Linked DNA regions of Oreochromis niloticus. The protein of the gene in region 3 purifies or fractionates together with the protein of the main gene of each other region. This does not show direct contact. Links are inferred from orthologs where the notes say so. Each region holds a gene or a part of one and is shown on either strand. Other genes may lie near its edges.

Evidence for each region.
Region 1: the proteins of cep97 (region 3) and neurl4 purify together in Homo sapiens (affinity purification with western blotting; 4 studies listed by BioGRID and IntAct, with this or other methods). This does not show direct contact. The link is inferred for Oreochromis niloticus from reciprocal best matches to the Homo sapiens genes CEP97 and NEURL4.
Region 2: the proteins of cep97 (region 3) and sugt1 purify together in Homo sapiens (affinity purification with mass spectrometry; 3 studies listed by BioGRID and IntAct, with this or other methods). This does not show direct contact. The link is inferred for Oreochromis niloticus from reciprocal best matches to the Homo sapiens genes CEP97 and SUGT1.

Annotation. Positions count from the first base shown.
Region 1 is NC_031967.2:17,604,294-17,612,276, reverse strand, and holds the start of neurl4 (neuralized-like protein 4), read left to right. Parts: upstream 1-4,893; 5' UTR 4,894-5,065; coding exon 5,066-5,281; intron 5,282-7,983. Other genes in the region: shbg (sex hormone-binding globulin), read left to right, coding at 348-455, 1,263-1,360, 1,607-1,796, 2,291-2,452, 2,600-2,756, 2,984-3,120, 3,248-3,449, 3,574-3,710. UniProt on the Homo sapiens protein: Promotes CCP110 ubiquitination and proteasome-dependent degradation. By counteracting accumulation of CP110, maintains normal centriolar homeostasis and preventing formation of ectopic microtubular organizing centers.
Region 2 is NC_031982.2:7,941,971-7,949,487, forward strand, and holds the start of sugt1 (protein SGT1 homolog), read right to left. Parts: upstream 3,091-7,517; 5' UTR 2,945-3,090; coding exon 2,931-2,944; intron 2,830-2,930; coding exon 2,781-2,829; intron 2,084-2,780; coding exon 1,993-2,083; intron 1,795-1,992; coding exon 1,725-1,794; intron 100-1,724; coding exon 29-99; intron 1-28. Other genes in the region: ETS-related transcription factor Elf-1, read right to left, coding at 6,577-7,183. UniProt on the Homo sapiens protein: May play a role in ubiquitination and subsequent proteasomal degradation of target proteins.
Region 3 is NC_031987.2:20,768,033-20,775,383, reverse strand, and holds the start of cep97 (centrosomal protein of 97 kDa), read right to left. Parts: upstream 3,096-7,351; 5' UTR 2,769-3,095; coding exon 2,732-2,768; intron 2,024-2,731; coding exon 1,881-2,023; intron 1,770-1,880; coding exon 1,611-1,769; intron 1,499-1,610; coding exon 1,397-1,498; intron 1,299-1,396; coding exon 1,185-1,298; intron 1,097-1,184; coding exon 930-1,096; intron 825-929; coding exon 660-824; intron 554-659; coding exon 378-553; intron 278-377; coding exon 1-277. Other genes in the region: rpl24 (large ribosomal subunit protein eL24), read left to right, coding at 3,369-3,373, 3,500-3,575, 4,211-4,321, 5,274-5,410, 6,613-6,676, 6,848-6,928. UniProt on the Homo sapiens protein: Acts as a key negative regulator of ciliogenesis in collaboration with CCP110 by capping the mother centriole thereby preventing cilia formation. Required for recruitment of CCP110 to the centrosome.

The DNA.
Region 1 (7,983 bases), on a different chromosome or scaffold from region 3:
TTAATTTCTAATACTGCAACAGACCCTTTTGTGCTATTTAACCCCACAGTTTCTTTCTTCTGTTTGCCTGCTGTACTTCACATTCACCACCCACAGCCATCTGCATTTCTGCAAACACTGGTCTCAACCAACGCGGCCTTCCGGCCTCAGGGATCGATAGCTTGCCCTGACCAGAGATGCCCTCTGGATCCCGGGAGTTGTGACAGCACACGCCAGCGCACTGCACACTGCACACTTTTCCATAATCCCTCTGCTCCTCATCTTAACTCGACCTCCATCTGCATCGCAGTGTAGCCGGACCAACCGTGAGCTGTGGGGACTGAACGCTGCGAGGCCTGGGTCAGTGAATGTGCTGCGGGATGACTTGGAAAGCAATGGCAGGTGCACTGCTGCTCACTCTGAACCTTATTTTGCTGGGGTGGGGAGCTGAGGGCCAGGGAAACGGACGTGATAAGGTATGTTACTGCGATACACAATGCCTAGAATTAAAATGTGCACTCTGTGTGTGTGTGTGTAGGAAGTATCATCTATATGCACCTTTTCAGCCTTTAATGAAGTCCCTGATTCTCTGCAGAAGCATGGATGACTCTAGTGACATATATTGTTTCTGCACACTTACATGCTACAGCTCCTGATCATTGGAAATATCTGCATGTATCATTTAGATACATCTTTTTCTTTGAGAAAAATCTACTTTGTTGGCTCATAGGTTATGTTTTAAAGAATAAAAGTCTAAAAGTCCTGAGCTAACTCATACTGTATCCAGCTCATGTGCCAATCAAAAGGGGAGGGGGGATCCCATCATTTGCTTAGACTTTGCTCAGTTTGCTCAGTTTGCAGACACATCGGCATAATTAAGATAAGAGAGGAAATACTTTACTTTTGTCCCAGTTTCTGGAAATTACTAACACAAAAAGAAAAGCAAGACTTGTTTTTCCTCTTAAATGTTCTACATACACATGGTTCATATCCACAAGTGAATGTTGTGTGGTTGCTCTTGTCAATGAAATGCAGTGATGTGGCACTTCATCACCACTTAATAATTTGCGCACACTGCTCTGTTCAGCTTTTTTTTAAAGTCGAATCAATAACTGAATAAATTTCATCTCTCGGTTTAATGTGGTTTTAACGAGCAGCCAATGAAGATCTCTGAGTGTAAAATACTGAGGCCGAGTTCGATAAATGAGAGCTGCGTGTAATAAAAAGCTGTGAGTAACGACCTAAGTGTCAGATCAGTGCGAGATGAAGCTTGTGTCTTCCAGAAAGAGGTGCCGGGCAGTTCTACCGTCTATCTGGGCCAGAACACGCACGACTGGAGGCCGCTGATCCACACAACGGTCAACCTTAGTCAGATCGGCAGGTACGTGAGCGATGGAGCAAATCAGTGCACCGTTAAGCCTGCACAGCAGCTCCTCTGTGGGCATAAAGGTGCACACAATTCTTCTGGGATTTCAAATTAAAACGTGACCTTGAAGTTCAGTTTTTACTGAACAGGCGTACATGAGCTCTCTAAGATCAGTCAAAGATAAATAAGGCAGGTTGTCTTATTAATGCACCAATGAGCAGCCTTCACTCCAATTTACTGTATCTTTATTCTGCCACGCAGCATCAAATCCTCCTTTCAGTTCCGGACATTTGACCCAGAAGGTCTGGTTTTCTACGGAGACACACAAAACGGGGATGACTGGTTTGTTTTGTCGCTGAAAGACGGCGTCCCCCTGATGCAGATCAACAAAGAAGGCGTGCTCGTCAGCGTAGCGGGCACCCCGAGGCTCAATGACGGGAAATGGCACACAGTAAGCATCCAGTGATCACTTGGAAATCAGTTTGCTGAACTCTAATTGGCTAAAGAACTGCTTTATGATGCTTTTTAAAAACTCGCCCCCTTATCCTTTTCCTTATTTTCTATATTTTCATATATATATATATATATTCTCACAGTAATGGATGTTCATATTAAATATTGAGGTCAGTTTATATGCAAATTATTATGGTTATGGTCATATAAGGAACACAGCTGTGAGCACACAAATCCCGCCCATCTGCTGCTCGTGGTTTGTTTGCAAGAGACAGCCAATCAGAAGAAAGCTGGAGTAGCCTTGAAGGGGGAGTGGCTAAAACTGCTGGTTTCAGGCAGGGAGAGAACTCTGGAGCTGCACAAAGGCTCCGTATAAGAAATTATGAAGGGCTCCTTGAGAGCGCGAGAACAAAACCATGTTCGAAATGAGCATAACAGCTCATCTTAAAACTGGCTAACTGTACCGTTTGTTGTTCTCTTGATGCCACCAAGATGGAAGTGAGCAACCAGGGCAAGTTCGTAATTCTGGAGGTGGATGGCACTGGCGGGCTGGTGGTGGGCATGCATTCCAAGCAGATAGAGGAGGTCATTCACGGTAAATTACGACTGTCCCTTGGCGGGATGCTGATCGGCAAAGAAAAGATGATTGTTCAGGTACTTTGTGTATTTTGCACCTTTTGTTTTAAACCACACTTCAGCTGCAAATAGACCAGATGCTGTTTTCCTCTCCTTGGACAAGACCTCTGGAAAATAGCTTCTTGAACATGTCTGAATCATCCACCTCGTGCCCTCTTCCTTTAGTTCAATCCCAAAATGGATGGCTGTGTGCGGAAAGGCAACTGGCTGAACCTCACCGTCCCATGGGTGGCAGAGGCAGACGAGCTCCAGCCTTGCTATGAAAACATCCAACCTGGCAGCTACTTCCCTGGCACAGGATTTGCCATTTTCAACACCTCAGGTGGGAACACTCTGCTAAATTATCCCAGATACGAGCAAGTGTTTACACTCCTTTATTCAATAACAAGCTTTCCAGCTGGCCCGGATATTGCATTTATGCATGATATGGCATCTCGGGTAGCAATATTTCTCCTACTTCTAAGTAGTACTCCTTCTAATCAGATTCAGCACGTTAATTTGTATTTATTTAACCAACTCAACACATCCACACATTTCTTTTTTTCCCAGATTTCCAGATCGATGAAGATCACGGGGTCCGTATTGAACTGTGGGGGGATTTCAGCCAGATGGACGGGACCCTTTTGAGCATCAAAGCTGATGGGGAGGAGCTCGTGTTCTCTGTGGTAGCTGATAATAACACAAAGGTATCCACATAAGTCAGATGTATTTGCCCTCGAAGCAGGATTATTAACTTAGAAATGATGTTTGTTTCATGCAAATAACACACACAGATCAGTGTACGTCACAGTTCTGTTTCCATTTGGCATGCAGGACTTCACATTCACCTCTAGAGAAGAGGTGCTCACCATGAAGAACACTTTCAAGAGGCTCCAAATTAAGTTTCAGAAGGATTCGCTGAGGGTGGTTAAACATGAGGATGAATCATCGGCTGATTTTTCAGTCAGTGCAGGGAGCAACACCAGTTATTTATCAGCTTGGAGAGATGGTCATCTTGCCATTGGAGGCCTTTTGGGTGAGATTGCAGCTTTAAAGTATTTCAGTCTAATCCTGTATCACTGTGCAGCAACACAAAAAAAGGATCTGCTCTGTGTAACTCGTGAAGACGATCAATTTCTTCATCTATTTTGTCTTTTCAGGTGAGAATGACGACGATGTCGGCTCCAAGTTCTTGACAGGCTGTCTGGAGAAGATCCAGGTCCAAGGGAAGGATTTGGATCTGGATTCGGCGCGCGTCAAACACGTGTCCGTTTCCTCTCACAGCTGCCCCGCTTAAACCACGAAAGCATGCTTACACTTTATGGTATGCTGAGTAGACATGGTGTTTGCAGTGATGAGCACTAAAGTGTTTTAAGTCAGAATTTTATACTTGTACCAGTGAATCTCCAAAGTGTAAATAATTTAGTGCTAAATATTAATATTTTATGAGATGTCTCTTCCACTTTCCCACTTTTAACACAACATACAGATAAATCTGATAAATGTGAGCAGTTTTGTGACCCTGGTACGTGCAACAGCAAGCTGCTGAATAAAATATGACTTTCCCTAAAGTGGTTTCTGATACATATTCATTTTTCTGGTATATTTTAAGGCAAAATAGAGGCGTAAGATGTGTTTGAGGATTGTAATCCTCAAACACATGAAACAGATCTTATTTTGTTATGAACACCTTTATTCTTCAGTTTATTCTTCTTCAGTTTTTTGTTGTTGTTTTTTTTTTGTAATTTCTTTTAATAGTCTCCAGGAATAGTTGTCCAGGCTTCCTGAAGGACATTCAAGGCTCTTCTTTGGATGGTCGAGGCTACCATCACTGAGTGTAGTCGATGTCTTTTAAAGCCAAATTTTAATTCTAATTTTCTTCAATTCTTTCAACTTAGGTTCAGCCAGTCTTTTCACGCATGCCTCACAAGAACCCGCTCGCTGTCGCCGAGTGACTGATCTTAGACATGAAAATTGCTCCCTCTAGTGGTTAATTAAATATAATGTTAAATTCATCAGAGCCTTGTGTATGACGTCATCTATCCCATAAATTAGATACACGGAAAAAGTACAAATATTACTCATCAACTTTAAATTATAAAAGAAGAAAAGAAGAAAGACTATAGCAAATATGAATGAAATGTTCAAGATCAGTTTCAGTTAAAATTATGTCTGTATTCACTTATCGCTGCAAGAAGTCATCAAAATGTTATGTGCAGCTTTGAAATGAACTGGAAGATGTGAAAGGTCGGGCAACACAGACAGATAAATAGATTTATTTTCATTCAAAACATTATATACATTTGTTTCCCAAGACAGCGTTAAACTAGCAGTAAATAGAATAAAAAAATATAATAACACCTATTAATATTTAACTAGACAATCATATAATAATAAAAACACATACATAAAGCGATAAAATGCAAACTGATAACGAACGTGACTCTAACTGTAGTTAAAGTAGAAAGTTTTTAGCCCTCGAGCCAATAAAGTGAGAAATAATCAAAAGTGTACAATGAGGCTACGGTGAATGTAGAAGCGTTAGCTTCTGAACCAAAGCGTTTATATAGGCTTTAAAATGACGCCACGCTTTCAGTCATTAAAGCCTGCGGTGCGGTTGCTAACGATTCCACATATCTGCCGGCTGCCATAATGTTACTGTCGCAAAGCCTCGCTGTCGTGAATACTGGCCGCCCACTGAAGATGGCGGCGGAGCTGCATCCGCGGAGCGGAAAGCTGATCGGCCTGTCCAACTCGAACCGAACCGCCCGTCGCAACCAGCCAGTCCAGGAGTTCAATCACGGCCTGGTGCTTAGCAAAGAGCCGCTGAGGGACCGGGATGTCTTCACCGTCCGCATTGACAAGAAGGTAAACAAACTGCAGGCCCGTTGCTGGCTCCTCTGAGCGTGTGTGAGGGCAGCGGGACGGGAGCGGAGCTGGAGGGACGAGCCGGGGGTCTGTGGCTGTCCGCGGTCTAAAGCTACTGCTGCTGCTAGGGCGGCACACACAGGGCTTGACAGTAGCCGCAGTGTTTACGGCTCCTCAGGCTTTAATTAGATACACCGACAGAGACTGGGGAGGACCGCAGGGAGCTGATAAACAGCCTGCTGTGGGCTGGATGTGATAAACGAGTCTCCTAGCTAACGATAGCCCGCCCGTGTTGCCTTGGTGCCGTCAGATAGCCGTGCTAATGAGCCGCTAGCAGGCTGGCCAGGGCTAGCCTTTCTGGAAGGTGCTACGAGGGCTTTGTCTGGCGCTGACAGGGACCCGGTATCGTTTTATCGCGTGAAAGAATCCCAGCTAAGCCGGTAAGTGCGGCTCTTTTAGGGCTTGTTTTGAAGGATCGGTCGCCTGTCAGGCTGTCTGTCCGATGGCTAATAACACTGCAGTGTTCACGCCACACGGGGCTATCGTAGTGACTCAGAGGCCATGTGTGAACAGTACACAGTGACTACACCGAGGCTGTTACCACTGTCATTAATATTAACCAGAGCCTGTGTGCTGAAAGCCTCAGCTCTGCAGCCTCCGCTCACCTCTGTGCGTATGCAAAGCGTCTGCAGACCGCTAGAATTGCTGCTCAAAAAGTGGAGCACGGAGGTGACTACTTCATGCTGTTACTCATTAATTACATGCACTCTTTCGGCTGACTTCACAACCATTTAAACACAAAATCACGGATATCATGTGTCTAACTTTACTAGACCTGCTGCTGTTAACAGTTTTCATCATCAAGTTAAGTGCAGGTGATCTCTTTCCTTTCTTTTCCCTTCATTTCCAGTCAAAGTCCTGCCTCTCCTCCATCACAAGTGCAAAGAGAGCTTACAGCTACAGTTCACATCCACTGATGAAGCTTAAACCAGTTTTTAATTATGTAATTTTGCAGGTAGAGGTGGCCTAATGTTCTGTTTCCTTGAATTAGCAGCCTTGACCTTGTTATCTCCATGCATTAAGAGTGCCTGTGCAGAGTGTTTACATTTCAGTTGTGGAAAACCTCCGTTGTAATGGCTTCTGTCTCTGCAGTCGGCCTCCCAGCTGCGCTTGCCAACAACATGGCAGCACTGGAGTCAGTGCCAAAGCCAACTGGGCCCCACACACACACGAAATGACAGTGTGTCCAGCCGTCTAAAAGCATAGCGTGTGTGCACGTAAAGCATCTGGCTTAATAGCACCTGCTGCACGTTAGATAATTATGCATCCCTGGTGGAGCTCTCAGCCTGATAAAGGCTCTCATAAACAGGCTCCCGCCCCGTCTTTGCATGCATTGCCAGTCTGAAAATCAATAGTTTGTCATCATGGAGCACCCGCTGGTATGACTCTGAGTGCTGACGTCCAGGGTGGGGGGACGTAAACACATGAGGGGGAATGAAGTGATTTATTGGAGCAGGACTCTGCGGGTGTTTTTTCACTTGAGGAAGAAAGAAATGATCTATGATAGGATTCAGCAGAAGATCCAACTAGTGAGATGGAATACTCTGTCACGCGTTTTGCATACTGGGAGTTACTTAAAGCTAAAATGATTAGCTGTGTTTTGTCTTGTGTGACAGTATCAAGTTTTGAATTGTGCTTAATGTGATGAGTAGATCAATATAATTGGCACTAATATCTACTTTGAAATGCTACTTTTCTTGCTGTTACTGTTTAATTACGAGTTAACGCTAAAGTCATAGGTTTTCAAGTCTAACGTGTTTTTAAAAGCACACAAATTCAGCAAGTTGTGCCACTTTGTGTTCCTCACAGTCATGCCGATCTGGCTGGAAAATGTTTATTCGCTCCCAAATGGGAGTTTGTTGTTGTGAGAATTTGTGCCCCAAAAGCTGAGCCTCTGCGTTTCCTCTCTCTAGCGGTGCTCCCCATAGGTGGTGCTTTTGAAATCGACAGGCTATAAACTTCTCTGTTTCCCTATAAAAGATGCTCTGTTGTCCCGCTCAGTGTGTATATTTGCAGCCTGCGATTATTAGTCTTTTAGAGTCGAGTCGAGTGAAAGACTGGGAGGCAGACGCCCACAGGCTGCTGTTACGTAAGCGAGAGCGCGAGGGAAGGAGATGTCTGTCTCCTCCACACACACAGACCCGGTCAGCCTGAGCTACTCCCAGATCTGTTAACCCAGATACCCTGGCTGCGGTAGCACACTGCCTTACATAGCACCTGCCGCGGAGCTGAGGAAGAGGTGGGCAGGAGGAGGCTGACTGTAGTGTTAAAAAAAAAAATGGTATTGATCCTGGGGAAAGTGTCTTTGGCACAGAAGTCAGCTGCAGAAAAACATCCCAGGAGCTGGAAGGGTTTCAGTGATCGGTCACGGTCATCTCTTACACTGGAGTCCTACTGGGGGTGGGGTGGGGGTGGGGGGGTTATGACTGAGCATAAAGCTGAGGCTTTTATCCACCGCTGAGGTTTTTGTCAGATCCCTTTCTCCTTGAGCAGCAGGTGGAGTGCAGCGAGCCAGGAGACGAGTCCTCGTCGAGACGACAGGGGTTCGTGGCTCTGTGTCGGCGAGCATCTGCTGCGCTCAAGTGTTTTTAATCGAGACTTAAACATCAACGCCAGCTGCTTTTTACATTTTCTTTTCTCTG
Region 2 (7,517 bases), on a different chromosome or scaffold from region 3:
ACTTGAGGCCAAAATGGGCTGCACTCACCATCCAGTTGGTGTCCCTGAGTGAAGGCTGCATGCGCTGACTCATAGTTGTTCAGGTGATATTCGGCTATTCTGCAGTTGGGCAAGAAAAACATGCCACATGAACTTAGATCAGGCAATCTTGGAAAAATAAACGCAGCTTCATCTGACAAACAACATCTGTATGATTTACCTTGTTAAAGCAAAATGTTTTGGTAGTTTTTGTGCATTAACTTCTGAGGAAGCGCAGAAATCAGACTTCTTACTACACTGGTAGTTTTCTTCCACTTCCGCGGAAGAAAATGAATGGATGGTAGTTTTAGAAATTACATTTTTAAGTATAACTTTAAAGGTTTCAGACAATTCTTACATTGCAAGGCGTAAAACGTGAAGTTTTACATAATGCAACCACACCAAATTTATATTGTGACCACATAATAAGAACAATAAAGAAAAAATATATAAAATATAGTTACAAATTGCTTTACAAAACATGATAAATATATAAAAACAAAGAGGCAACAAATTAAAACAAGGCATAAAATCTGAACATGCTGTGTGAATAACAGGTGAATAAACACAACGAAAAGAAGTAAATCAAAGAAATAATAAAGGGGCAGTAAAAATAGATTTACTATGAAAAGTATTGAGTAGTGATTTCAAAGTACTGAGTTTGCTAACCTCAGTTGCTATGGTAACAGAAAACACTCAAACACCTATGTAATGAGGTGTATTGTGGGAACAGAATGATCTGACCTGACAAACGCAGCCAGTCGCTCAATTAACACCAACCAACTAAATCTACAGTGCGGGTAGGATGAGCCCATGCAAGGTTTTAAAAGTAACAATAAATACAACTTTAAAAAAAGCTTCAAATCAGCTCAACTTTAAATCACTTTGTCTTGTCTCTGTGAATTTGTTTTGAATGAGGTGAAGGCAGGTGACTGAATTTTGTCTGAGACCCGAGTAGAGTGGATTACAATAGTTCAAACGTGATGAGACGAAGGCAAGGATGACTCCTCCGAGGCCCGCTTGAAATGGAAAATGTGAAAAAGCATGACAGTACCACTTTGGTGATTTGTGTGTTAAAACAAAGCTCTGACCGAAGTTTGTTTGATGGACGAGGACGGGTTTTCAAAATTTTCCTTTAAGTTAGAGGTCAGGTTTGGGGTGTGGGGGGAGCACTGAACCAAAGGCCTTCAGAATTGAAATCACTGAGCTGAAAGAAGTTTTGTGACAACCGTCAGATAACATCAGAAACATGAGCCATACACAGCAGGTTTCATCCCATCTTGTCAATAAAGCTGGCTGTACGTTTGTGTCAGAAGGGATAATTTTTTAATCAATTAAACTACATGTTTTAATTATTATTTTAGTTAATTTACCTTTTTTTTTTTAGTGGTGAGATGAACATATCAAACAGTAAATGAAGTGCAGTCTAAACTGAGCTAAACATCTGCATGCCAGGGTGGACCCCTGTGGGTTAGGTTGGTGATTCTGAATTGGCCATGGATGTGAGGAAGGCCCACAGTGTTTTTAAGCTTTTCTTGTACTGTAAAGTATATTTGTACATTGCTTATAAAACTAACCACACCTGCGAGCACTATTTGGGGATTGTGCTCACTTGCCATTTTGCCCCTTTTAGTAAATTTGGCCCTATGAGTGGTCAGTCAGGCTAGAAAAGTGCTATGTAAAGGCGTGCATTTCACAGTCCATACCCTGTGCGCATGAAAGCAAGAGAGAGGCTGGGTTTTAGCTGTTGTGCTTTCTTGGCGTCATCAGCAGCACCTGTGGACATAAAACAAAAGTAAAAAATTACTATGTTTCTTTATGCAGTGCATATATCCAGGCTGAGTCACATGCAGTGTAAAACCTCAAAAGCTAAACAACACGTATTTGTAATGCGCACATAATGTTCATGCACTTAATAATGCATCAAAAATACAATTAGTGTGGTCTGTTTCCACATGTGCTATGCAGACTTACAGCTGTAGTTCTTGAGCAGTATGTGGGCATAGGCACGCTGACAAAACCACTCAGCGTTGTCTGAGTCTCCTTGTAAGGCCTCGTTAAGCTCCTGAAAATAATAACGAGGTGGCTATTATTGTATAAAGGGCTTAAAATCGTGTTTTCAGCTTCAAGAATTGTGGCAGGAAAGAAACTTCTAGAAAAATGCTTAAATCGAAAGTAGAGCTGTTATGCATCTGCAACTTTCACTTTCGCAGTCGGATATCGTTATAGAAGAATCAGCTCTCTGTAAATCTATTTGAATCTGTGTTATTCCTGCAAATCAAACTGTAATGATTTTCATAATACTGCCCCGGTTAGTCACATAAATAACCGCAGATTCACCAGAGGCTTTTTAAACAGCAGAAATAAACTTCACTGGTTAAGTCTGTTGACAGTTAACAACTTCATGTCAGGATGACAGGGCTAGTATCCAGCAGCAGACTATTTCGAGCTAACGTTATGTAGTAATACCTCCTCACGCATGAGACATATTTAATTCTTAATGGTATTAAAGAAACAGGTGACCGTTTGATATGATAACGAAGCGATTCTGGGATTACTTTTATTCATAACTAAATAGGGCTAGCAAACATGTTGGCTAACTTCGCTAGCTTGTTGGTAATATCTGAAACACAAACACCACAGGTATTACTCAATTTCCTTTCTAGAGTAAGTCCACTGAATTTAAAGTTAAATGGACATCCTGCAAGAGCCACCGTGCATCGCACAAACTTGTTTGTGGCTAGCTGAGGCTAGTGTTTTACCTGCAGAGCTTTCTGTGGATCTTCGTCAATGAAGCTATCGGGGAAGCTGCTAAAAGCAACAAAAAAAAGCAAGTTAGCGTTAAATAACTGAAAGAAAAGAAATGTCTGCTGCTATAAGAACAGTTCATTGATAGATTTAGATGAACTTACCGTTCGGTTGCCATCTGCTTCTGTGGATGTGCACAGTGTTTCTGGAGTGACAGGAAAGTTCTAGATGTGGAGACTACGAGAAACGTGATAGCGGTAACAGTTACAGCTCAAACACAGCAGAGAGCCTGTCAACATCCGGCTGCGCGCAGCTCATACTGCCTCTACTCCCCCTAACGGCCCGGAGGAGTTATCGCTAACTTTTTTTTTTTAAGGAGACGATTTTCTGGACAGAGAATTAGGCGGCAGATTTGTCAAAGAATAGAAACGTTTAAATTGAAACTGGATACGGTCACCCACCAACAAATGTATAATACCATTAATGAAAATAAAAATGGGGGCTGATAGAATATAAACACAAACAATTTGTACTCCCCCAGACGGTCAGGAAACATAAATGATACAATATATCCGAGAATTACGGAGACATGGCTTATTTCAGTCAGACTTCAGTCAGACTTCCTGTCAGAGCTATGGTACAATGGACCTATTATGTTAGCACAAAAATGTCCAATGATTCATTGTGAGGATGAAATGCTCCAACATCAGCTGGATCTGTAATCAGACAGAGAACAACGGAAATAAGACAGCGAATCGGCTGTGGGGTGTAATGTTGACTGTAGTCGACAAATTTGTGTTGCACGTCTCTTTAAGGAAATAATGCGGGATGGTAAAAGACATCCATTCTAGGTAGTCGTGTACATTATTAATGTTCACATCTGGAGAACAAGAGGTAAAGTAGCTATTTGAAGAAAAGATAACTAACAGTGACGCTGCATGTGTTTAAAAATATTGTTGCTGATCTCAGGAGGAGGAAAACTTTTGGACTGAAGAATAATCCTCTTCCCTGGGACATATTTAGTGTTATCTATCCTTGTACATGCTGTATGTATGTGTAACATGTAACATCCTGTTGAATTCAGTTGCGTATGTCCACAAAGAGCAGCAGGTCAGCTGACCACAGCCGGTACACTAAGAAAATCTGCTGGAGCTCACAGAAGAAATTATTGCGAGTTCTCATTCTTTTCCCCACACTGAGCCTCTACAGTGGATTTTGGGGTTTCCCCATGTGCAGAATCAACTTTAACCCCTGACTGTACACATTTTCTTGTTTAGAGGAAAAGTCACCCTCTACACTGTAGGCAACACAAAATAAACTTCTTTTTCTATGTTCATGTTCTGCATACTTGATTCAAGTTGAATACATTCATTAGAAATAAAATTTAGATCAGAAATTATATAATAAAGACTGCATTGCTATGTACTACTGTCATTTTATTATATTACTATAGCTCAGTTAGCTTTGCACAAAAATAGCTGGTATAGAAAGGCCCTCCAAAGAGCTACTTTACTGTGAGTACGTTTCAGAGCCTGTAGTTTTCACTTTTACTTGAGTAAAGAAGTCGAATCAGTACTTTAACTTTTACCAGAGCACTTTTTAACAGAGGTATCTGCACTTCTGCCACCTCAGATTAGCACCACTGGTATGTTAAAAAGACTGGTGGTCGCCATTGCTACCCCTCAGCCACCTACAAGCTCCTCAATGGTATCAATTTGAAAAGCCTATGTGACATTTTTCTTCAGTTACTATGTTCACAAGATTTTCACAGAGCTTGACCTCTGACAAGGTAACAGAGATGCAAACTTGTCCATGATTTTTAGTAAATGCAGCTATGGTATCAGCTGGAAAAACCTACATCAGCTTGTTTGTGAGTTATCACGATGACAGGACGGGTTAGTGTTAATGTGGTAAGCCAAAAAACAACTTCACCAAATCAAAAATAGAATTAACACCTTTCTGACAACAGCAAAAAAAGAAAAACTGATCGTGTCAGAATTCTGTAGAAGTAGTTCTGGCAGATCTGTATCACTGCATTAGGCCTTTACTGATAAAGCAGCAGTTGAATGCACTGCTCAAATGCGACATATACACTCACCAAGCTACGTCTACTGATGCTCCAAGTCTTCCAAAGGAACAATGATGGATTTCACACAATGACAAATGTAAATTTATTTCATATAATAGACGATTAGCTTTAACATCACTGGACTGCATGAAAGCAAACACAACACAGCATTAAAAAAAAACAAAAACAAAAAAAACAAGCTCCACCTCTCCCTCTACTACAAGCTTACAAATCTATTAAGGTAAGACATTCCCAAGACACATACTGAAGAGCAAGGGGCAAAAAAACACCAAAACAAACAAACAAACATGTTATAACAAAGTGAAAATAGTTCTGCATAAGAGTTCCCTGCAGGCACAGTTACTGCATAAGCATCTCTTTGCCAAGTTTAGCCTCTCAAAAAGCCAGCCTAACTATTCAGTCATATTTTTTTTTTAAATTTGGAGTGAGGTGAAGTTTGTAAGCCGGCTTCGTGAGCCTACGCTAAGACCGGGCGAAGAGAAAATAATAAACTAACAATTTCACTTTTACTTCTTGCATAGAGTACATAATATGTGCAGCACAAAAATGCTTTATAAACCTGAGGGAAGGAAAAAAAAAATGGCATCAAAAGAACAAGCTTTCACAGGCATACAGTACACAAAGATCAGCCAAAACATTAAAACCACCAGCCTGGTAATATGTAGGTCTGCTTTGTGCAGCGATGCCGCTGCTGGCGCCTTCTGCAATGCTGAGCTTGATGCTAAACCCACGTGAACGCCAGCCAAACATTGCATTGCACTGTAACGAAATGACCAGTGTTCACTTCAGCCAACACAGTGGTTTTAATGTTGAGGCCCTACGGTGCGTAATAGACGCATACAGATAGAGGATTCAGAGTTTAATATATGCACTCATATATGGATAGCTAGTGCACAAGAGAAAAGATAAATAGTAGCACTATAATTTTACAGGAGGCAGGGTGGCTACAAGGCCACTTCACTGGTGATTGTCACGAAGAAAATAGAAAAAAAGAGTCCCATGGTGTAGATAAACAAATAATAAACAGCGCAAGTGCTAAAATACTACTTTGAAAAAATAACAGTGATCCCTTGTTTTGCAGCAATCTTAAAAAACAACAACAACAACAATAATAATAATAATAATAACAATAACAATATGGAATGTTTTCCCTTATGATTACCAGGAATAGGATGGACTGACATCTTCAGGCACTTCAGAAGAAATATACAGCAGAGGTAAACATTAGTGCAAAGCCACTTTTAAGGCAAAGGAATGCTTCAGGACGTGATAGCATGAAGACACAAAACTAAACAACGTAGGAGAAAGTGAGAGCAAAAAGCAGAGAAGAAGGGCACAGTGTGGTGATAAGATAATTGCTTCCAGGACACTGGAGCTGAAGTGCAAGCAGAGAAAGCGTCTGCAGGCAGTGCAGAGAGGCCAGAGATTCCAGTGCATGTCTGTCTTTGGTGTTGGTTTAACAAAGGGCTACACAGAATGACAATAAGGCGAAATGATCAGATTTCAAAGCTGAGAAGGTAAACTGCTGTGAGATTTTGGTTCCTGTCAGCGCTGTGACAAAAGCACTGATCTGTACTTATGATCTAAAATAATATTCTACACCAAAAGTCCTTGTTTTTAAATCAGCATTGTCATAGCAAAGTGCAGCCCTGTAAGTGGTCCTGAGTCGGTGGAGTGTACAGGCATCTGTGTGTTCGATAGAAAGTGGGCACCTGTTATTTTTATTGGTCAGAGCTAATCAGAGACATGAGCTGTGGAGTTTTTGGTCCTGGGTGCGACTTTTTCTCGGACATCTCCGGCACACCTTTTCTCCCTATGGCCACCTCGGCAGCAGCCTGTCGCTCGCACAGACTCCCCAGCAGCTGAGCCGTTTTGAAGACTGAGGCATGACCGGCGGGTTTCAGAGACTGGACCTTTTGCAGGTTCTGGAGCGTGCGTAGCATCTCAGCTGACACGATAGGCAGATGCTGTTCCTGGATCAAACTGGAGCTGGTGGGACGCAGGACGGTGTCGCGCTGAGCTGAGGGCCTGGGAGCGGGCCTGGTGCGCTGTGAAGCGGGAGCGCGGCCGGAGATGGGGGACGATTTCTTTGGCGGTGGCTGAGAATCTTCCTGCTCCTCCGCTGAATGGTCACTAGACGATATGGTACTGTCAGAGTCGTCGCTCATGCCTTCGTCGTTGACGCTGTTGTCGTCGTGGTCCTCGTCGTCTTCCTCTTTGATGCCATCTCCGTCGGTGATGTAAATCATGTCTTTGGGGAGAGAGGTGAACTGGTAAACGAGGCGCTGGCCTTCAACCTTATTCAGTATGCCTCTCTGGTAGTAGTACCTGCATGGAAAAAGCAGAAATTGACAGCTTTCAAACCTGCTACAGTTTTCAATCATTCACATCTCATTTGTAAAATCTAAAATAAAAATGACAAAAAAAACATTTTTTTTTTGTCATCGATAAAGAGTCAAAAATATATTTTTGACTCTTTCTTGGTGTACTATGATTAGGTTCCATACCTGCCCCTTTCTTACTAACCTAGATTGGATAAATTCTTGCATTTATATACAAGTTAAATGAGTTAAACTGCTTTAAAAATTAAAAAAAAGGTTAAATTAGTACTGACAAGCAGCATCAAACTTGAGTAGACTGTACAGTAAGCTTCCATTTGATT
Region 3 (7,351 bases):
TTTTTGGGCTGGGCTGGGTGCTTTGGTGCCAGGGAATCTGGCTCGAATGTCTCTGTCTCGTCCTCGCTGTCAGAGTGGGTCGATCGTGGCTCCAGATCAGATGTGAAGGGGATGAAGGTGGACTCTGAGGAAAGCATGCTACTGTTGAGTTTGTCCTCACCTGTCTGCACATCCTCCAAATAAATTTGCTCCTCGCTCAGCCTTGGGCGACATACTATGGGCAGCGACGGATTGGAAGAGTCAGAGCTCACCCAGGTGTTAAACCGAACAACTGGCTCTACAGGAAAACAGACAAGTCAACGATTAGTACTACAACCTAATTCAAATACATGATTCTCACTGGTCCTGGACCAGGACGAGGAAAGCAGCCCTCTTACCTGTCTGCGGGACTGATGGAACAGCTGGTCCAGGTACAGTGATCTTCTTCAACTCTCTGGCTCCCCCTTGAGGAACTGTATGTGAAGGACTGTGACTCTCCACATCGAGCTGAGTTGGACGAGGAGGACTGCAACAGCCTCCCCGGGTCTCCTCCAGCAGTTGTCTCTGATGAAACCTGAGACAGTTATGAAGGATTAAGAATGTGTGTGCTACCATGACCAAGAAGTGGATATTGGGTAATGATTTTTTTCCTTGCAGTTTATCTATATTAAGATTTCAACCTCTGTTTACTGAGAATCTTCTCCAATTTGGCATCCTCAGCTGTCTCCAGGGCAGGTGATGCCGTCACAGGGCAGACAGTGGCCAGGTACTGAACCAGCTGAACGTGCTGTCCTGGTCGATACGAGCGACCTTTGCCCTGACTGTAGAGCCACTCGGCTTTCAGACTGTAAATTTAACAATAACACACAGCAAAAAAGAAAAAAAAAAGACATTCAGGCATTCTGATAATGCTTTTGTACCGATGATATTAAGCATAAGAATATACACACCCCTCTTTCTGTGTCACTACATAGCCATCTAGGACCTTCAGGCTCAGGCACCAACTCATGACATATGGCCGATAGTCGAAACCAGGCAGAGATGGGGTCGCCATAACACAAGGGTTGCTCATAATGGACAGCTGCTCCAGCTCATGAAGTGGCGCCAGGTATGACATCTGGGGTAATCAGTTTATAGTCAGAGTAATATTAGGTCATTTTAATATAACCAGTGTGGCTGTATTAAATAAGGGGGAACATAATTACTTCATTAAGATCCCTAATCTCATTTTCTGCCAGGGAGAGAATGGATAATTGAGCAGGAAGGTGAGCGGGGACAGTTCGAAGTGTTGTGATGCTGTTTCCGTGAAGTAACAGAGTCTGCAACATTGACAGAAAATGATACCATCAAGAAAATCAACAATACCATTAATAAAGAGCTAGTTTGAGCACAAATTCAGAGGTCTCAGCACACTGACCTTTAGTGCTACCAGTTTGGTCAGATCACCAATGGCAGATATGTTATTGTCAGACAGATCCAGGTGTTGAAGGGAGACACAGTTGTTAAGTTGCTCAATGACCTGTGTGAAAGATTGCACAGTGGATTAAATATTTGTCATTATACATGGACTGTTTGCTGTCAGTAAATTACAGGATCTGTATAAAGGATGTTAAAATATCTCATGTCCTCACCTTAATATTGTTGCCAGACAGGTTGAGCCACTTTAGGTGAGGCAGATCTCTCAGCCCCTCAATGTAGCCTATACTGTTATTGGGAAGATTTAGGACTCTCAACTCTGTCAGCCGAGACACACCCATCATTCTCACCAGACGATTACTGGCTACAGACAGCTAAAGAGGAAAAAGAAAGAAAAGACATCAAATCATGAACTGGTGTGTTGTATCTGGACTCTAATGGTTGGGAAGATAATGTAGATAAATTTAAACTAAAGAGTTTGTTACCTGCTGAAGACCTGGACTCCTTTCTAGGTGGTCCAGCTTCATGATGTTGTTCCCGTCCAGGATGAGAGTGTGAGTGTCCTCTGAGCAGGTGAAACTGGGCTCCAACTTCTGCATACCTCGGGCCGAAAGATCCACCACAGGTCCTGGCAGGATAAAGAGATTCAACAGACTTAAAAAGCATAACGTGGGTCTTGGTTTTCCATAAAGATATCTTGTACCAAATCTTGTGAAATCAGTCAAGCGCACATTAAGTATATCTCATAAGTCAACAGCATTGGGCTTATCTTGAACCTGAACTTTTCTCCAAAATCACCCAACTTTATGTCAGTTTTAGTACCCCTCTTGTACTCCACTGCAGAGTGGTGATGGGTTAATTATGGGTTACACAGACTACTATAATAGCTTATGAATGGGTATAGAACTGTAATAATTAGCCATCTACAATGCAAAAAAAAAAGATTAGTTACATTTTCTGGCAGGTCCCCTGAATTGGTTTAAATAATCTGCTATTGATTACTGCCATTGGAAGGCTAACAAGGTCGAGAAACAATCAAGCCTCTGCCCAGTGCGCATTTCGTGCCAGTCTGTCAACACCTGCAGAACCTAAATCTGTCCCAGACAGACTGTTTTCATGTTTAAGGTTTCGGAAAACTTTGCTAAAATCTAATTTACAAATATGCCAGAAAGGGACTGACGCAGGATGTTTTAATGCTCGTGTAAGGTGAACTAGCTAACGGCAGCACTCTGTAGTGCTCTCCCGTTAACCTCCGCCGGTGATAAACATCTTCCTATCGGCTACCTTTCAAATGAATGTTAATATGTTTGACTAAAATAACTGACCGACAACTTACCAGCATTTCTATCAAACTGTAAATCTGATACACCCATCCTATCGACCCGGACCACAGCTAGCGTTAGCTGCTGTGTACTGTAGTGGGAAAGACAAGAAGCGTCTGTGTGTTGTCAAACTGCGTAATCGAGGGGCTCTGGGAATTGTAGTTCATAAAGGATGTCTCGTCCCTTGCAACGTTGTGTCTATGGAAGTCGAAAAGACTACAATTATCCTACAGCGCGCTAATGTTGCTGAAACGCGCCAGCCAGGTTTAAGCAAAGAATAAAGAAGCAAACCATTAACGTTAATAGGAAAAATGCGTCTGAAGTGACCATAGCCATCTTATATTTCATTTTAGAGTGTTTAAAACACTGCTGTTCTGTATTATTAAGACAAGAGCAGCTAGCTCATTGCTTGCTAGGCAACCGTCAAAATGTGACGTCACCATTGTGCTGCTGGTCAATGTATAAATTTGACTAATATATTTTTGTAATAGAAAAAAATAATTCGTATAGGCTCACTGATTTTAAAGCATTACTCAAACTTTAACGGTTAGATTTTTTTAATTTGTTCACAAATATCAATCTTGTAGTCAGTAAATTCCGTTTCCGCATCCGTCATCTTTCTTTCCGGTTTTGTGCCCTCTCGTAGCCATCATGAAGTGAGTGTATGCAATGCTATCAAATGCCATCTCAGTATTTAAATAAATACTTTAAGGGTGATAAGTACGTTAAAAGAAACTATGTACGCTTCTCTTTCGCTGATGATCTGTATTTGTCGTTTTCAGGGTCGAGTTGTGCAGTTTCAGCGGGTATAAAATATACCCCGGCCATGGCCGCCGATACGCCAGGATAGACGGGAAGGTAACTAGCTGGCAAAGTCCGACACCGGTTTCTTCTCGCTCTGTCCCAAAATTATTTTTATGAATATCACTTTACCGGCTCAGCGTTAAATATCCCCTGTGAATGTGCTATAAAATTTGTCTACTGTAAGATACTCACAACGGGCCCAATTGAGTCCTGTAAAACCCGCTAATGTTAGCAGCTAAACGATAGCATTTTTAGGTTCAGCCACACGGGTGTATTTGACTGCGATAGAAAGCAGTCATAGACACCTACAGGCTCTGTTGACTGCCAATTGTTCTGAAAAGAGCCTACAGGGGTTTTAGATAAAGTGCCATTTATTTGTGTAAGTACATCCAGAAGAAAACATAAGATGCATTAGGATGTAGCCTCACTCAGAATGTGGCTCTGTCCTGAGCTGTTGCCTACTACTTAAAATTAATGCAGTTAAATTTCGTTATGTATCAAGTTTATGATACATGTGAACAGTTCCACAATGCAACATGCGCTTTAGATTCAGTTTTTGTCACATATAACAGACTGCTGTCAGCATCCAAAGTCAGTTTGTAGCTGAGGTGGATGCGTACAGGGTGTAATTGTCATAATTAAAGGCAGACATGAGTAACATTCGGTTATTTTTTTTGTGCTCTTGTTAGGTGTTCCAGTTTTTGAACGCCAAGTGCGAGTCTGCCTTCCTGGCCAAGAGGAACCCCAGACAGATCAACTGGACTGTGCTGTACAGACGCAAGCACAAGAAGGGCCAGTCTGTAAGTAAAATCCTGTATATGAGTTCATCATTTGTATTTGTTTACAAGGAGACTGAAGTGAAAATATAGCTACTATTTTTCCATGGCAGACAGACTTTGTGGGTCCAGCAGTTAATTGCTGTGTTGATATTGGTCATTTGTGAAACTCACAAACTAATCTTAGCTATCAGATACAAAAGTTGATTGTCACATTTACTCAAGCTCCAATTTATACATCAGACTGGCTGCGGGTGGATGGTGTGCACGGTGTTGGTCCGTGTTACGTGTTGTTGCTCGACTGTGTTTTGCAGACTGAGCAGCAGCGCTCACTCCACACCTGCAGCCACAGAATATCTGGAGATCATAGTACTGGCCTTTGACGTCTTCGCAGACATATTATCATCGGTCAGCCTCCAAACTCTCCGACATGCTGACAGTTGCTACCTGTGGATGGATTGTGTGTAGTCCTGTTAAAGTAGTTCAAGGATTTGGTGTTAGCTTTGTGAAATTTAAAGCCAAACATAAGAAATCTGTTTCTGTTTACAATATCCTGAGTTATTCAAACTTAGGTTACTCACCATTGCTGTAGCATGACAAAGTATTTTCCTCAATTTATCTTAGGTTTTTAGATTTTCATGGTTACAGCTATTGACTGTTACGGTTCCTATGGATGGTGATGCATCAGAAAACACGCAAAACTGACTTGTTGGATGGCTGGACACATGCTTTAACACTGATTTGTCATGCCTTAGAGGGCAGTTCGAGAAAATTGGTTAATAACTGTTCATTTATGACTGCAACCACCACTTTGGAGGTGTAGACTAGAGTAAATATGTAGACACATTTCCTTTCAGATAGATTAGCCACTCATTTCTTTGTGATTAACAGGTTTGTCTTCTATTCTTTTTCATTCTTCATGAAAAACCATCATTATTTTTTAAGTAAACCAATGTATTACATTTTTTTTTAACAGGAAGAGGTGGCAAAGAAGCGTACCCGCCGCGCAGTGAAATTCACGAGGGCCATCACTGGCGCCTCCCTGGCTGAGATCATGGCCAAGAGGAACCAGAAGCCTGAGGTCCGCAAGGCCCAGAGGGAGCAGGCCATCAGGTAAGAGGACAAAGTACCCTGTGTACCTCTTTTTCTTTTTCTTTGTCTTTTTTTTTTTTTTTTTGTCTTGTGATCTTGAAGTTGATAAAATTGTGTCAGAGTATTATTCGGAGTAAAGAAGGGTTGGATTAGAATCCAGTGTAGATGATATTGGCTGACTGGCCCAGAGGTTGCATTGGGCATTTTATTGGTTTCATATTTTTAAGAATGAGATTTATTTGTGTTAGTTTTCATTAAAACAACTAGAATTTAATAAAACAGGAGAGAGTGCCTTTATGAGGGCATTGAGGGAGAAACGCTGACTGCAGGGACTTTTCATAGTAACACAGCAAGAAACAAATGATTTTATTTGTTTCCCCCTGCAGACTTAGCTGATACACAAACGCAGCAGTCAAATATAATCTGAGTGAACATAAACCTGGGGCTTGCTTCAGCATAATTAAAATAAAGTGAATTACAGGATGTTGCAGCACTTCCTGATTTAATTTCATTCTGCAGACTGAGCCCTCTCTCTGCTGCTGCACTAGACACTGAAATTCCTGAAATTCATTATTTCAGGATTAGTTTTATCGTAAAAAGAACACATCTAACATTACCGAGTGATATTAGCAAAAGTCTCTGAATGCCGACGCTTCTGGTTCTTTAAACACTCACCGAACAGTCAGAAAACCCCCAGGTTGAACTCCTGCATGAGGGAACAGCTGCACCTATGACCCTGAGCTGATCACAGACATGCTGGATTTAAGCTTAATGTTATTAAACACAAGAAAATACGGATGCTGCCACCATCTTTAGATTGTTGTTTTTTTTTAATGTTGTTGGTATTCTAGTCCAGTCTTTAAGCCTTTAGATTTGTAACATTTAATCAGTGCTTGGAAATATTCAGTAAAAACAGCTTCTGATCAGCCTGTCAGTGTAATCAGTCACTATTTAAAATGGGCTGTAAATAATTACTACAGTGAACACTTTCATAGCACTTCAAGTTCACTTTCCAGTCATAATAAAATACAATTATAAAGCACGTTTCTCACAGTGAGTGGTGCAAAAAGGGCTGAGGTCATGAGCAACCAATATTCAAGTTAAAAATAAAGTATTCAAATACATACATTAAAAAAATTATATAAAGAAATTTGTTATTTTATTTTATTTTTTTGGTCACTTTGATTAGTTTGGACTAAATTTGGTTCTCTTTGTTGTCTCAGAGCTGCCAAGGAGGCCAAGAAGGCAAAGCAGGCTGCCAAGAAGCCCGCTGCACCACCTGCAAAGGTAAGAGCCGGTGCTCTGTATTGAAGTTATTTAATCATTATTATTCAATAAGATGTCAAACCAAGTTTTTAGTTTCCCACTGCTTGCTCTTCAGGCTTCACTCAATTATTCAGCAACTTAATTCAAAGTTTTTCGTTGTACAAGACCTTACTTGATTTTCTTCTCCTGTAGGCCGCTGCTAAGGCTGCACAGAAACCCAAGATCGCCAAGCCCATGAAGGTCAGCGCACCTCGCGTCGGTGGAAAACGCTAAACCTGACTCGCTGTTTATGGTTGTGAATAAAAATTTTGGTTAACCAACATTTATGCTCTGATTTGTGTATTTATTTGACAACTTTACTGAACCCCAGGCAGCCCAATGTTTATGTATTTAAATTTATTTTTGTGACACGGAGCCTCATTTCCAAGTTCCATGAATTACAGTATTTGAATATTTTGTTTCAACATGACGGGACCATCATAGTGTCGTGGACAAATTCTTTTGGTGTTGTGGCAGGAAGGACATTCAGCATTAACTGGGTGACCCCTGGGAAATAACTGGACAGCTGAATGTAGCTTGTGGTGTCAGGATGGTGCTAAACCTTTTACCCCAGCAGCCAGGTTAACCTGTAACAGGAAAGACATAGGTGTAAGTACAAATAGCAGTAATGATCTCATTAGGTTTAGTGGTGCATAA